Linked DNA regions of Caenorhabditis elegans. The protein of the gene in region 1 interacts with the protein of each later gene in a pairwise test. Each region holds a gene or a part of one and is shown on either strand. Other genes may lie near its edges. The genes, in order: mdt-27 and sdz-12.

Region 1 (6,904 bases):
AAAAAACAAAAGCAGAACGAGATAAATCAAAACAATGTTCGAAAACTGCTCTATCTGCCGAAAGGACCCAGTGGCTTGAAACGTAACTAGAGCCTACGGGTTGACGAAAGATAACATATTTTGAGGAGACGCAGAGAATCAGGGGTCTCTCCAATATATATTCTGTGAAAACAGCCGGAGAGAACACGGAGGGAGCAGAGATATGTGGTGGTGGTGGAGACGTACATCATTTGGAATAAACGACGTCTTCGACCTTGTTTGCATGAGTTTCCTATATTTTCGTACTTTCTATTTGATAACAAGCAAACATGGCTCTTCAATAGAAAAACCTCGTCATTCGAAACATTTTCAATATTTGAAAGGCTAACAGGAAAAAACGACGAAGATGAAATGAAATAAAAACGGAATGCTTCAACATGTGTCCCGACATGCACTGTCCCAGTCGACACAACAGATTGAAACAAAAGGAGAAAGAGCAAACAAGTTGTGCTCCTGCAAAATACATTTTTTCAATTGAGATGAATGGTCTGTATGATTTTATTGAACACATCAAAAAGCATTGAAAGAGACAAGGTGATGATGGTGAAGATCTGGCAAGAGACAAAAAAAACTAGGAATACTCTCGTAAAAGTGGGGAAAAATTCAAGAAAGTGGAAACAGTGGGGCCGTAGAAATGAAACAAGTTAAAGCGACACGCATGGAGCAAAAAGAATCTAACAAGTGTACTGAACTATGGAAATAAATTAATATTTTCAACAAAAAAAGCTAAGGGACCTGTGACATCAAACATAATTTATGGCAAATGATTGGAGACGATTCTCTCGTGACAACGGTTGGAGGCATAAACTGTCGCAGATGCTTTCTGAAAAAAAAAACTATTATTTTCAAAAAAACATGATTTATATTTAAAAAAAAATAAAACTTACTTGCAATAATAGCATTTAGTTGAGAAACAGTTCACATAAGACTGAATGTAATTGTTGCATTGGGCGAAGTTTGTGGGTGCACTGAAAATTAATCCAATAAATAAGAAAATTACCTTTTTTAAAAAAATAAATTTCGAGTTTTTTTCTAATTAAAAGATGATTTGGCATCGTTTTTTTGGCGAATAATAGTTTTTTTTTACTAAAAAATTACATCCAAAAATAAATTTCTATTAACAATAATGGAAAAATCTTAAAAGAAATTATTTAAAAAAAATGTTTTTCGAATTTGACAAAAATTTTTTTTATGTGGCTAATAAAAAAATGTAATGTGGTATTTTAGGAGAATTTCGAATCCACTTTAGATAGTTTTTAAAGATATAGATTTTTTATGCATTACACATATTTTATGCGAGCCAACCTTTCTTTATTTAAAATTCAAGAAATTTTTTGGAAATTGGCTTGTAATTTGTAAAACCGTTTTTTTTTAATATCTAAAATGGATTTCAAGCTTTTTTTAAAAATGTACTAGGCGCACAAAATTCATTTCCAAATATGTAGAAAATTGGGAATGTCTCGAAATTTCTCTAAACGAAAAAATGCTTAATATACAAATATTTTTCTATAAAGATTTCCAGTAATTCATGTTTTTTTAATTTTACATAATTTCGTTTAAAAATTTAAAACTTACGTAAACTTTGTAACTGGCGAGCAAAGTATAATCTCTTTGGCCGATTTTGTGAATTCTCTGTAGACTTTCCGTTTCGAATGTAGAATTTGTTCTTGATTGTATAAATCTTCATCTTCGCCTCCAATAATCATATCTTCGAGAATTCCATATTTGAGTACAATAACAGCTTTCATACACGGAACGAATTCTTTTTCACTATTTGGGCGCCGAGCACAGTAGTGAACCTGAATTAAAGCCATTTTACATTGGGAAACGGGAGTTGGTTTCGGGAATAAAGATTTTTGAAAAAGGTTTATATTTTTCTAAATTAGACTGGAAGAAAAACTCACTTCAATGAGACTTTTTGAATTCCTAAAACATGGATGACTGATTCTTTTGAATCTCCATGTCAAATCACCCCTCGTTTTATTCATAACAGCATCCATTGCTAAGAAAACTCCTTTATTCGCATCTTCAACGTGTTTCGAGAATTTCAAAGGTGGTGGGACAGATAATCTTGAGACTCTCGGAGCATGAACAGCGTTTTGACGAAATGTTTCTGACACAGCGATAATGTTTTTCTGAAATTAGAATGTAACGAATTCAGAGTATTTCCAAATATTACCTCAATAACTGTCCTCTCGTCCATTGCCTCTTGTAATTTGTAGAATAATTGATAAGCACTTTCATCTTTCTGTCTGAGATCCTGAAATTAAATATTTAAAGTTCCAAGTTGGCAAACGGTTTTTTTAAATAATTTATTCTCATTTAAAATGATGTCTTCGCAGAAAGAGTTAAAAATGAAAGAAAACAGTCTCCGTATAGTGAATATATTTGTTAAACAAATTATAGAATTTTTCTAAATTGTTGTAGAATTTGAAACATCGTTTGTCACATTTTCAGGGACTTTTCCACAATAAACGTTAAATTATCTATCTTTATACCAAAATTAGAGATTCAACAAATTTCTTGTTTTCTCAAGTTTTCCTTACTGTAAAATGTCTGAAAATTTGACAAAAATGTTTCAAATCACATCTTTAAAAAAAACGAATAAAAAACTAATCAATATATCCGGAAAATGCAAAAAAATCTGCTTTAAGTTATTCCGCTGAATTCTAAAATTCATCAGCTTATTTCAATTTTTTCGTTGAAAAAAAATTAGAACTTAACAATGTTATATTACTACATTGAGACTGTTTTTTTTTCCGTCACTTGTGTTAGGACAAAAAAAAAAGCTTAAAAAACTATAAATTATGACTTTTGAACTAAGAATCTTAATCATTAATCATTAAACTAAATTAATCAAAAACTCACTTGTATTGATGATTCAACAGCTTTATATAGAGGCCTTTTGTCAAATACAGCATTATATCGACATTTGAGTGCTGCTGCTCTATTCAATTCATAATACATATTTCCCATTTCTGATAATGCTTCTCTTGCTCTTGATAAATCTTCCATTGTCGAATGCTCTTTCATCGATTCGTCTAATGCTTTTTTCGACTTTTGACGCATTTTCTCCAATTTACTCTTCATCACTTCTGCCCATTGATTTAACGCAATTACGTGCTTCTCCGTTGTATTTGATGGAAGTGTTAAAATCGGTCGTCCAGCTGCCGGATTCCCTGCAGTTGAAGGTCGGTTAGCAGTGTTTCCAGATTGAAGAACAGGCATCGATTGAGAGTGAGGAATATTACCCGAAGAGATACGTGCTCCCGATGGTCCTGAAGCATTTGCAGATGTGGTCGGTTGCTGATTGGATTGCATGGCTGCCGGACGAAGTGGTCTCAAAATCCGGGCTCGACCGTCTATCTAAAAAATTTTCCGATTTATATTAATTAGTGCTGAATGAAATTGACAATTTTTTTCAAAATAAAGAAAACGGTGTATTATCTAAATTTTGAGATTGTGATTGAAATTAAAAGATAAATCAACACAATAAATAAAAAAGTTTAACTGAATTTTAATTGTTTTAAATAAAATTATGAAAAGAAAAAACAATAATATTTAATTTAAATGATCTATCTAACTGAAAACTAAATAGAAAAATGTTATCGATCAAATAGAAATATACATTAACTGTGAAAACACCATTTTCTGCAATAGGCAATATACGGTGTCTGCGTCTCTCACTTCTTCATTGCTGGTATACACTTTTCCAACGCTTCCCTACAACTGCATTAGTCTTGTTTTCAATAGAGCGCGTTTGATGAACTACTTCAGAGTGAGGGGATCGCAAATGACTTAATTTTGGTATAAACAAAATTCCAATGTTTATAAAAGCGATAAACAGCACGTGCCAAGATTTAAATAGTTACTTGAACTAATTTAGAATATCTTGTTTTTTTTTTTCAATTTTCAATCGAAATGAGGTAAATTAGTATAAAGAAAAATTGCTAAGAAGCACTAATCGAGATTTTTACAAAAAATCGATATGAATTAATTTGAAAATCTTGAAGCATGTTTTATTTTTGAAAAAAAATCTGCGCATTTCTCAAAGTTGTTTCAATGTTTGTGGAAAAAAGGGATCTTCAAGTTTTAGATGTAAAAACAAATCTTTTTTCTCACTTGGGTATAAACTTTTTTGTGGTTTTTAGTAAATTTCTACTAGCATCGTAACTTTAAACAATTCTATCACAAATTGTACTAGTTTTTAATTGTATTTTTTCCGACACTTTTCACAAATAGTGTTATTAAAGGGATCAACGTTTCCTATAATATAAAGTTTTAATTTATTTTTAGCAGCTAAATTTTGTCATTTATTATTATTATTTAAGTTGATTTTAAGAAAAAAATGACATTGACACAAACTTACTTTGCTAACAAGGGGCGGCCTTCGTCCAAAAGGAGTATCTGGGAATCTTCCATTTGCAGCCTGAACATTTTGAAAAATAAGGATTTTGAATCTGCGTGTTTCGAGTAATTTTTTCAAGCTAAACATATGCCGCAGTTTCCCCTGCCGAAAAAGATAATTGAGATCAAAATTTGTTTCAATATTCAGCTACCGTGGGGGCCAGTGAATTGTTAATTTTTTTTAATTATAAAAAAATTAAATGACAAAAACTATACCGTATTTCCGAACGAATTTTCGCTTTTTATCCGGATTGTATTGTCTCCCATTATCTGAACTCGCCAATTTTTTAAAACAATTTTTTTTTCAACAAAATAATGACTTGGCCCGGGGGAACAAAAAAAAACAACACTGAAACATATATTTTTTAATTATATAAAATTAATCAAAAGCTTTTATTTAAAAATCGAATGAACGATGAGTTGAAATTCGGAATGTAAAAACATAAAAAATAAAGCGTTTGTTGGTGCGATGCACATGTTTCAAGGTGAAAAATTGGCGGAAAAGCATATTTCAAGGGCATCATCGGACAAGAAAACGAGAGAAAACGGAACCGTGTGGGGGAAGGTGTACAAATATTTTAACATAGAGAATAGCAACAAAAAAGAAATAGATTAATATTCGACACTTTGGGAACACTTACATATTATACAGGCAAATCAATAGAAGCGAGATTGAGGTGTAAATTATGAAACAGAGATGATAAAAAGAAATTGGAAGACATGAGTAGATACACTCAAAATGTAAACGATCAAGCTGTGCAGACATTCGGAGTGAAGAAAGCAATTGGGAAGGATTTGATATGCGTCTGCCATTGTGGAGATGTTTGAAAGTATCTGATGCCATTGTAAGCATTTCCATCGATGATAACTGAAAATAAATCTGCTTATTTTACAGCTCAAAACAAAAAAAAACGAACCAGTCAATTCATTGTGCTTTCCGGTAGCACTGCAAAGCATTCTTCCAATAGAAGATACTTGAGATGGAGCAGCTCCTTCCTCTGGTTTCTGCTTTTGTCCTTTCTTCATTCCCAGTTTTTGTAGCATTTTGTCTTTCCTTTTTTCTTTTAAATAGGTAAGACTCAATGAACCAGAACTTGGAGATCTCGACACAAGCAGTGTTTTGAAATGAGCTTTAATTGTGACCTTGGCTGTATCTTTTTTAGAATTCGGAGTTGTATTCGAAGATGATGGAGGGAAATCAGAGCCGTACGAGTATTGTGATGATTGCGGAACGGGATTATTCGGCCAGAAATCCATATTAAGTTCTTGGCCATCGACGTTTCGAAGTTGTGGAGAATGAGGTGGAGACGATCCATCAGTTTTCGATATAACCGACTCTTCTCGTGGAGAAATTACAGTTTGTGCGAATCCATTGAGTCCATTTGAGTCATCATCATTTTCAATTTCACACTGTTGACTTCCGACACGAACTTCACTGAGGAAAGGTAAAAACACACGTCCACCTTCAGGATCGCGATCAGCAGTCAATTGAAGCATAGCTTCGCCTATTGGCATATTCATCTTTGACGAGCTGACACTATTTGGCCAAGCAGCAATTTTATTAGCCAATGAAGTTTTTTCTGGCAATGTCATGTCTCCAAAACGATCCCAGAGATCTCTGCATAAATTGTCGAGTTGTGGATCGATCCCTGGAAATAACAAGCAATATATTAGAATAAAAGAAAATTTGAAAATACCTTCGATCATCTTATAAAATAGAGAGCTCGTCGACGGGATGGCCACGAATCGGAGATGATTGACGAGATTGGCGAGCGATTTATGGGCCAGACACTCCACATAAGCTTTAACGACTTGTGAGAAGAGTTTGTCAGTTCCGATGATTCCAACGATTGTCAACGGAGGATTTGATGAGTTGGAGTGGCAGCTGGAATTATAAGCTCATATTATAGAATGAAATGAGAAAGAAACACTCACAAATTTTGAATACGATTTATAACATGGCTCAGCGTCTGTCTAACTTGCGAAAATGAAGGGCAGTTTACAATAGGTACTGGACCACCCAGTATCGAATATGCAGGCCATTCTGATAAATTACACAACCAAACAGCATCACTTCCTTCAGGAGACATGCTCGATCCAAGAATGGAGCATAATTGTTCTGACAAGCTCACTCCTCGATGAACTCCGTGATCATTTTTTATTGAATTGAGAGTCGAGGAATGTGGCATCGAATGTGAATCAAATGATGATGATACAACGCGTATTCCGGCAGAACGCACAGGTGTCTGAAAAATGTTATTAAAAATGAAATCAGTTAAATAACAATTACCTGAACTGAATAGTCTGGATGACCGGAACCAATCGAATCCTTCTGAATTAATCGGTGTCGCGCGACGTTTTCTTTAGTATTATCTCCATCAGAATTCCATCCTCCTTCACCATGATCCCCTTCTCCGTCAGAAACTTCATACATTGCAGCAAGATGATCGTTCTTCTC
Region 2 (4,320 bases), on another chromosome or scaffold:
ACGTTTCTAACCTTGCGATCTTCTTCTCTGTGACTCTTAACGACCTACTATTGATGAACAATCCAGTGATTTCACTCCATGCTACCCCGTTATCCAATTCCAATTTGAAATTATTGATCAAGCTCTGGGTTAAAGGCTTTGAATCCAGACCTTGAACTTTTCATTTTCTACATTTACAATGATTATCCCCACTCTAGCCCAGAGCTACTAATGCCTAATTCAGCCGAGGAATCTGATGTTCATGGCATGCGTGCCTATCGAATTAAAAACATTCATGGAACTTTTTCTATTTGGAGGTTCTGATTTCTTTATTCCATCGTTTTTTCTAATCAACACTACTTCTATTTACGACGACGACGACGAGTTACTGTCAAACACCGTCCGACGATTGAAATCTTCAATTTTTTCCAGTTTTTGAGATTTTTTTCGAGTCTTTCGAATTAAGCTTATTTTCGAAACCTCTAACTTCTTATTTTTCTATGTTTTTGAACTTCACTTTTCAAAACTATATTTTTAAACTCCACAAAATATAACTATGTATATGTCTTATCAAAATACTTTATGAAATGCTAGATAAAAGTTTCTTGAATTCTTGACTTGACTTTTTCTGGTTTGGTCTGGTTCATGATTTGAATTTCTTCTGTAAGTCTTCAAATTTTCTCATCAATATAATATAAAGAAAACGTAAATTTATTTTTTGTACTGGCAAATAAAACTTTACAATTGAAAACAGAGAAAAAATAGTGGCCAAAAATCAGTTATTAGAAAAATGCAATTCATATTTGAAAACGAACAATTTTTAAACTTCAAGAACTCGCTTCAAGACCCGCTTCATCAGGAATGGGCTCATTTCATCAATGTTTCCAGCGATAATTGAGCGGACATCTTGGATGGTTTTGATGGTGTTGCAGCAGTGAATCTGGAAGATAAAATAAGGTTATATTCAGGTGCACGCACTTACCTCTAGTTTCTCCAACTTGTATCTAATTGCCAATTCCAATTTCTTTTTCCCGGACTTCTCGGACTCCTTGTAAAGAAATTTCTCGCATTTCCCAATAACCGCTCTAGAATCGTACATGTCAGCAAGTTGAAGGATTCCTTCGACGGTATTGTCTGAAATTTTTAAATTATTACCAATGTGAGCACTAAAAACTAACCATCAATCGAGTCCTCCAAATAGAGAACTTCCAAAAATGCCTGGAAGGCTTCCGGGTCTATCCCAGAGAGGGTAACCTCTGATTTCTTCGACTCGCCGAAACTGCCAAAGAACAAGGATTTGAAGTAGGAGCACTGCAGAGCGAGATGCTTTCTCAGAACATGAAATCTCTGCTCATCCACTACCAAAACCACATCGGACAGCTCTCCCATAGACTCATTGTCGAACTTCAAAACCGGATCTCTTCCCTTGAACCCAGAAGCGTTCAATATTTGAACATGAACTTTAAAGTGTAGCGCATCTTCAATCACAAAGTTTTTTGCGACTTTCTCCCAATCGGCAAACTGCTTCCATCCCCATGAGTTTTCCTTCGGCTTCTCACTATTGAAATTTACAGTGGCTGTTTTGCAGTGGGGAGATTCATTGGGAGATCTAAGCTTCACTTCAACATTCGCCTGAACTGACCAAATTGTGCCAAGTTGGTCGCAACTAAGATACACCTCAAGTTGATCAGTTCTTCGATTGACATGGAGTTTCCTGGAAATATAAAAATTTAAATAAAAAAAGGAAAGTTAAAAATACCATGGAATATAGTAATATTCTTTAACCTCGCTGCAATAAGTGGTATCCGGCTTGAAGTTGGAGATTGCTTTAATAGTGTAAGTTGACACAAATTCCTTTGTTATAACGAGCATGTCTACTAACCTACTAAATTGCAGAAAAATGACGAATAGGAAGACTTGTAGAGGCAGATTATGAGTGAATAACGCTAGGAGATAATCTTAGTGGATCGATAAAATAATGCATAATGCAGCGTCTCGTTTCCCGGCAAATTTGGCACAGTTGGCAGCTGGTCTTCCAAAAATGTTGTGAATTTTGTTAAAGATTACAATATTCCCCCCAAAGAAGGTGCATCGTCAATGGAGAAATTACTGAAAAAACTGAGATACTGAAAAACTCAATCAGCTCTACAATGTGCAATTACACACATTTCATAAATTCGTCGGCCCCGCTTCTCCAAAAGCCCCAACGTCATATGTGACGCAACTTCTCACAGCTTTCGAGGACACAGTCTTTGAACTTATGTACCTCTTTTTGCAACTACGCAAAAACATTTCTCACTCCCCTTCCTCCCTGCCCTCGGACAATCCGCAGAGATTTCTTCTGTGAAAATGAGTTTGTCATCACTAGACGCCGTATTGTCGCTTATTGCAACCTCTTCCACTTTGGATCAGGATTCTGCTAAGGTGCCCCAGTGTCAAGTTTGCAAAAGAAAGTTCGCGAATCAGGTTAGTTTTTGAAGTGAGCAAAAAAGTGTTGTTAATTTATCTTAATTTTACAAAATTTACTGTACAGCAGATAATCTTCCTTTTTTTGCTAGTTAGTATATAGAGCTCACTACCATTTTTCAGAAAACGCTGAGAACGCACATGAAGCACATTACGTGTAGGCCTGGACGTTCCAATGTGGTGAGTTTTTGAGAAAATGTTTAAGCCACTGAGCTTCTCCTCCTCCAACTATACGTTTTTTCAGGTCAATCACAAATTCAGATGTGAAAATTGTGAGAAACAATTCACCAACAAGCCAAACTTGAAGCGTCATCAAATAACTCACTCTGGTTCAAAATCCAAGAAGTGCAGCACTTGCCAGAGAACATTCTTCAGGGAAGATCAGGCAAGCAGATTTTATTCCATTTTTCCTGTTCAATTCCAGCAATTTGTAATTTTCAGCTTCAAAGGCACCTGCACAACCATCTCAAGGAAAGATCACATTTCGACTGTCCCGTGTTGAACTGTTCAATGCAGTTCGTATTCTATGAGGGCGTTGAAAATCATCTCGTAAACCATCACCACTTTTCATACAGCGAATCGGCTCCGTGTGGAAAATGCCACAAGTTATTCGGGAGTCCTAGGCATCTCCTGGTACACTACCATTTTGATCATAAAGAGGTGAAAAGCTTTATAATTCTTTAAGACTTAACAATCCTTTCAGGCTCTGCGCTCTTCGGCTCCTGCTCCCACAAGCTCCGCCAGACTGTCACCTATCACCGTATCAACTTCAGGAAGTCCCAGAGCTCAGTTGGCAATCTCGCCACAAGAGAAGCCGCCTCAAAAATTGAGCATAAATCTAGGAACTTCCCCGATGATCGAAGAATTCTGTGAACAGAACTCGGTATGTTTTCATTTTCAATATTGGTTTTGGTGCCGTTCTTTGAAACCATTAGACTTGAAATTTTCAGGCAACTCTTCCAAACACTGATCAACAGCTCTCACCAACTCTAAGCCCCAATGAGCCAAGGTTTAGAAATCTAATTACCAGTGAGCCAACCCCAAGCTTTGTAAGTTCTTAAGTTTCAAAGTACACTTTCATCAACTCAAAAGCTCTTCAGGAATGCAAGCACTGCACGATCAAGTTCCACGATGCCACAATGAGCATCATGCATAACGCCCTTCACGCGCCAGGAAGCCCATTCAAATGTGCAATTTGTGGAGCAGAATGTGGAAATAAGATCGTGTTCACCATGCACATCATCACTGCGAGTCATGATTTTGGTGGCATAGGAACTTAATTGATAAGATTCTACTGCTTAATTAATATTTTTTCTTGTTAAAAGTACTCAATGAATCTCGTTCTCGCCCTTGAAGGAAACTGATAATTGTTGATAACTACGGTAACCTACAGTACCCTATTCTATCGTGATCACTGATTTTATGGAGTAATCAAACAATTAGTTGGTCTTCAGAATACAGGACTGGTAGATCAAACTACGCATAGTTTCTTTTTCTATCTACATCTTCTTCACTCTCCTTCCCATTTGCTCTCTGCCAATACCGCGCGCCAAATCGATAATTGCGCCCCACCAAAACACTCTGCGCGGGTTCATTTATTCCTTCACCTCTACTCTCTTATCAATGGACCTGCCTGAAGCTCAAGCTCTTGTGCCAGTTTATTCTCAGGTACTGTAAAATTTTCACAAATTAATTAATAAAGGATCCATTTTTTTTCAGGAATTGCGCAAGGTGCAACAGTTCAAGTAATTACATTCTCAGAAATCTCTGAGCAATCACATACGGAACACCAAATGTGGACTTGGGCTGTCTTCTTACGAAGACGTTAGTGCTTAATAGATAGCGTTTGGCATCATAATCTATCTATCTCTATCT

What was found.
Region 2: the proteins of mdt-27 (region 1) and sdz-12 interact in a two-hybrid assay, tested with the Caenorhabditis elegans proteins (one large-scale study listed by BioGRID).

What each region holds. Positions count from the first base shown.
Region 1 is NC_003283.11:9,208,939-9,215,842, forward strand, and holds mdt-27 (MeDiaTor), read right to left. Parts: upstream 4,717-6,904; 5' UTR 4,714-4,716; coding exon 4,663-4,713; intron 4,469-4,662; coding exon 4,409-4,468; intron 3,406-4,408; coding exon 2,908-3,405; intron 2,300-2,907; coding exon 2,219-2,299; intron 2,175-2,218; coding exon 1,944-2,174; intron 1,839-1,943; coding exon 1,615-1,838; intron 1,008-1,614; coding exon 927-1,007; intron 863-926; coding exon 766-862; 3' UTR 525-765; downstream 1-524. Other genes in the region: pacs-1 (Phosphofurin acidic cluster sorting protein 2), read right to left, coding at 5,196-5,314, 5,364-6,095, 6,144-6,331, 6,382-6,692, 6,737-6,904.
Region 2 is NC_003280.10:3,729,557-3,733,876, reverse strand, and holds sdz-12 (Zinc finger protein sdz-12), read left to right. Parts: upstream 1-2,053; 5' UTR 2,054-2,328; coding exon 2,329-2,445; intron 2,446-2,568; coding exon 2,569-2,625; intron 2,626-2,689; coding exon 2,690-2,830; intron 2,831-2,886; coding exon 2,887-3,105; intron 3,106-3,148; coding exon 3,149-3,328; intron 3,329-3,395; coding exon 3,396-3,494; intron 3,495-3,545; coding exon 3,546-3,725; downstream 3,726-4,320. Other genes in the region: bath-31 (BTB domain-containing protein), read right to left, coding at 800-919, 962-1,113, 1,158-1,693, 1,739-1,851. UniProt on the Caenorhabditis elegans protein: Together with ehn-3, may play a role in gonadogenesis.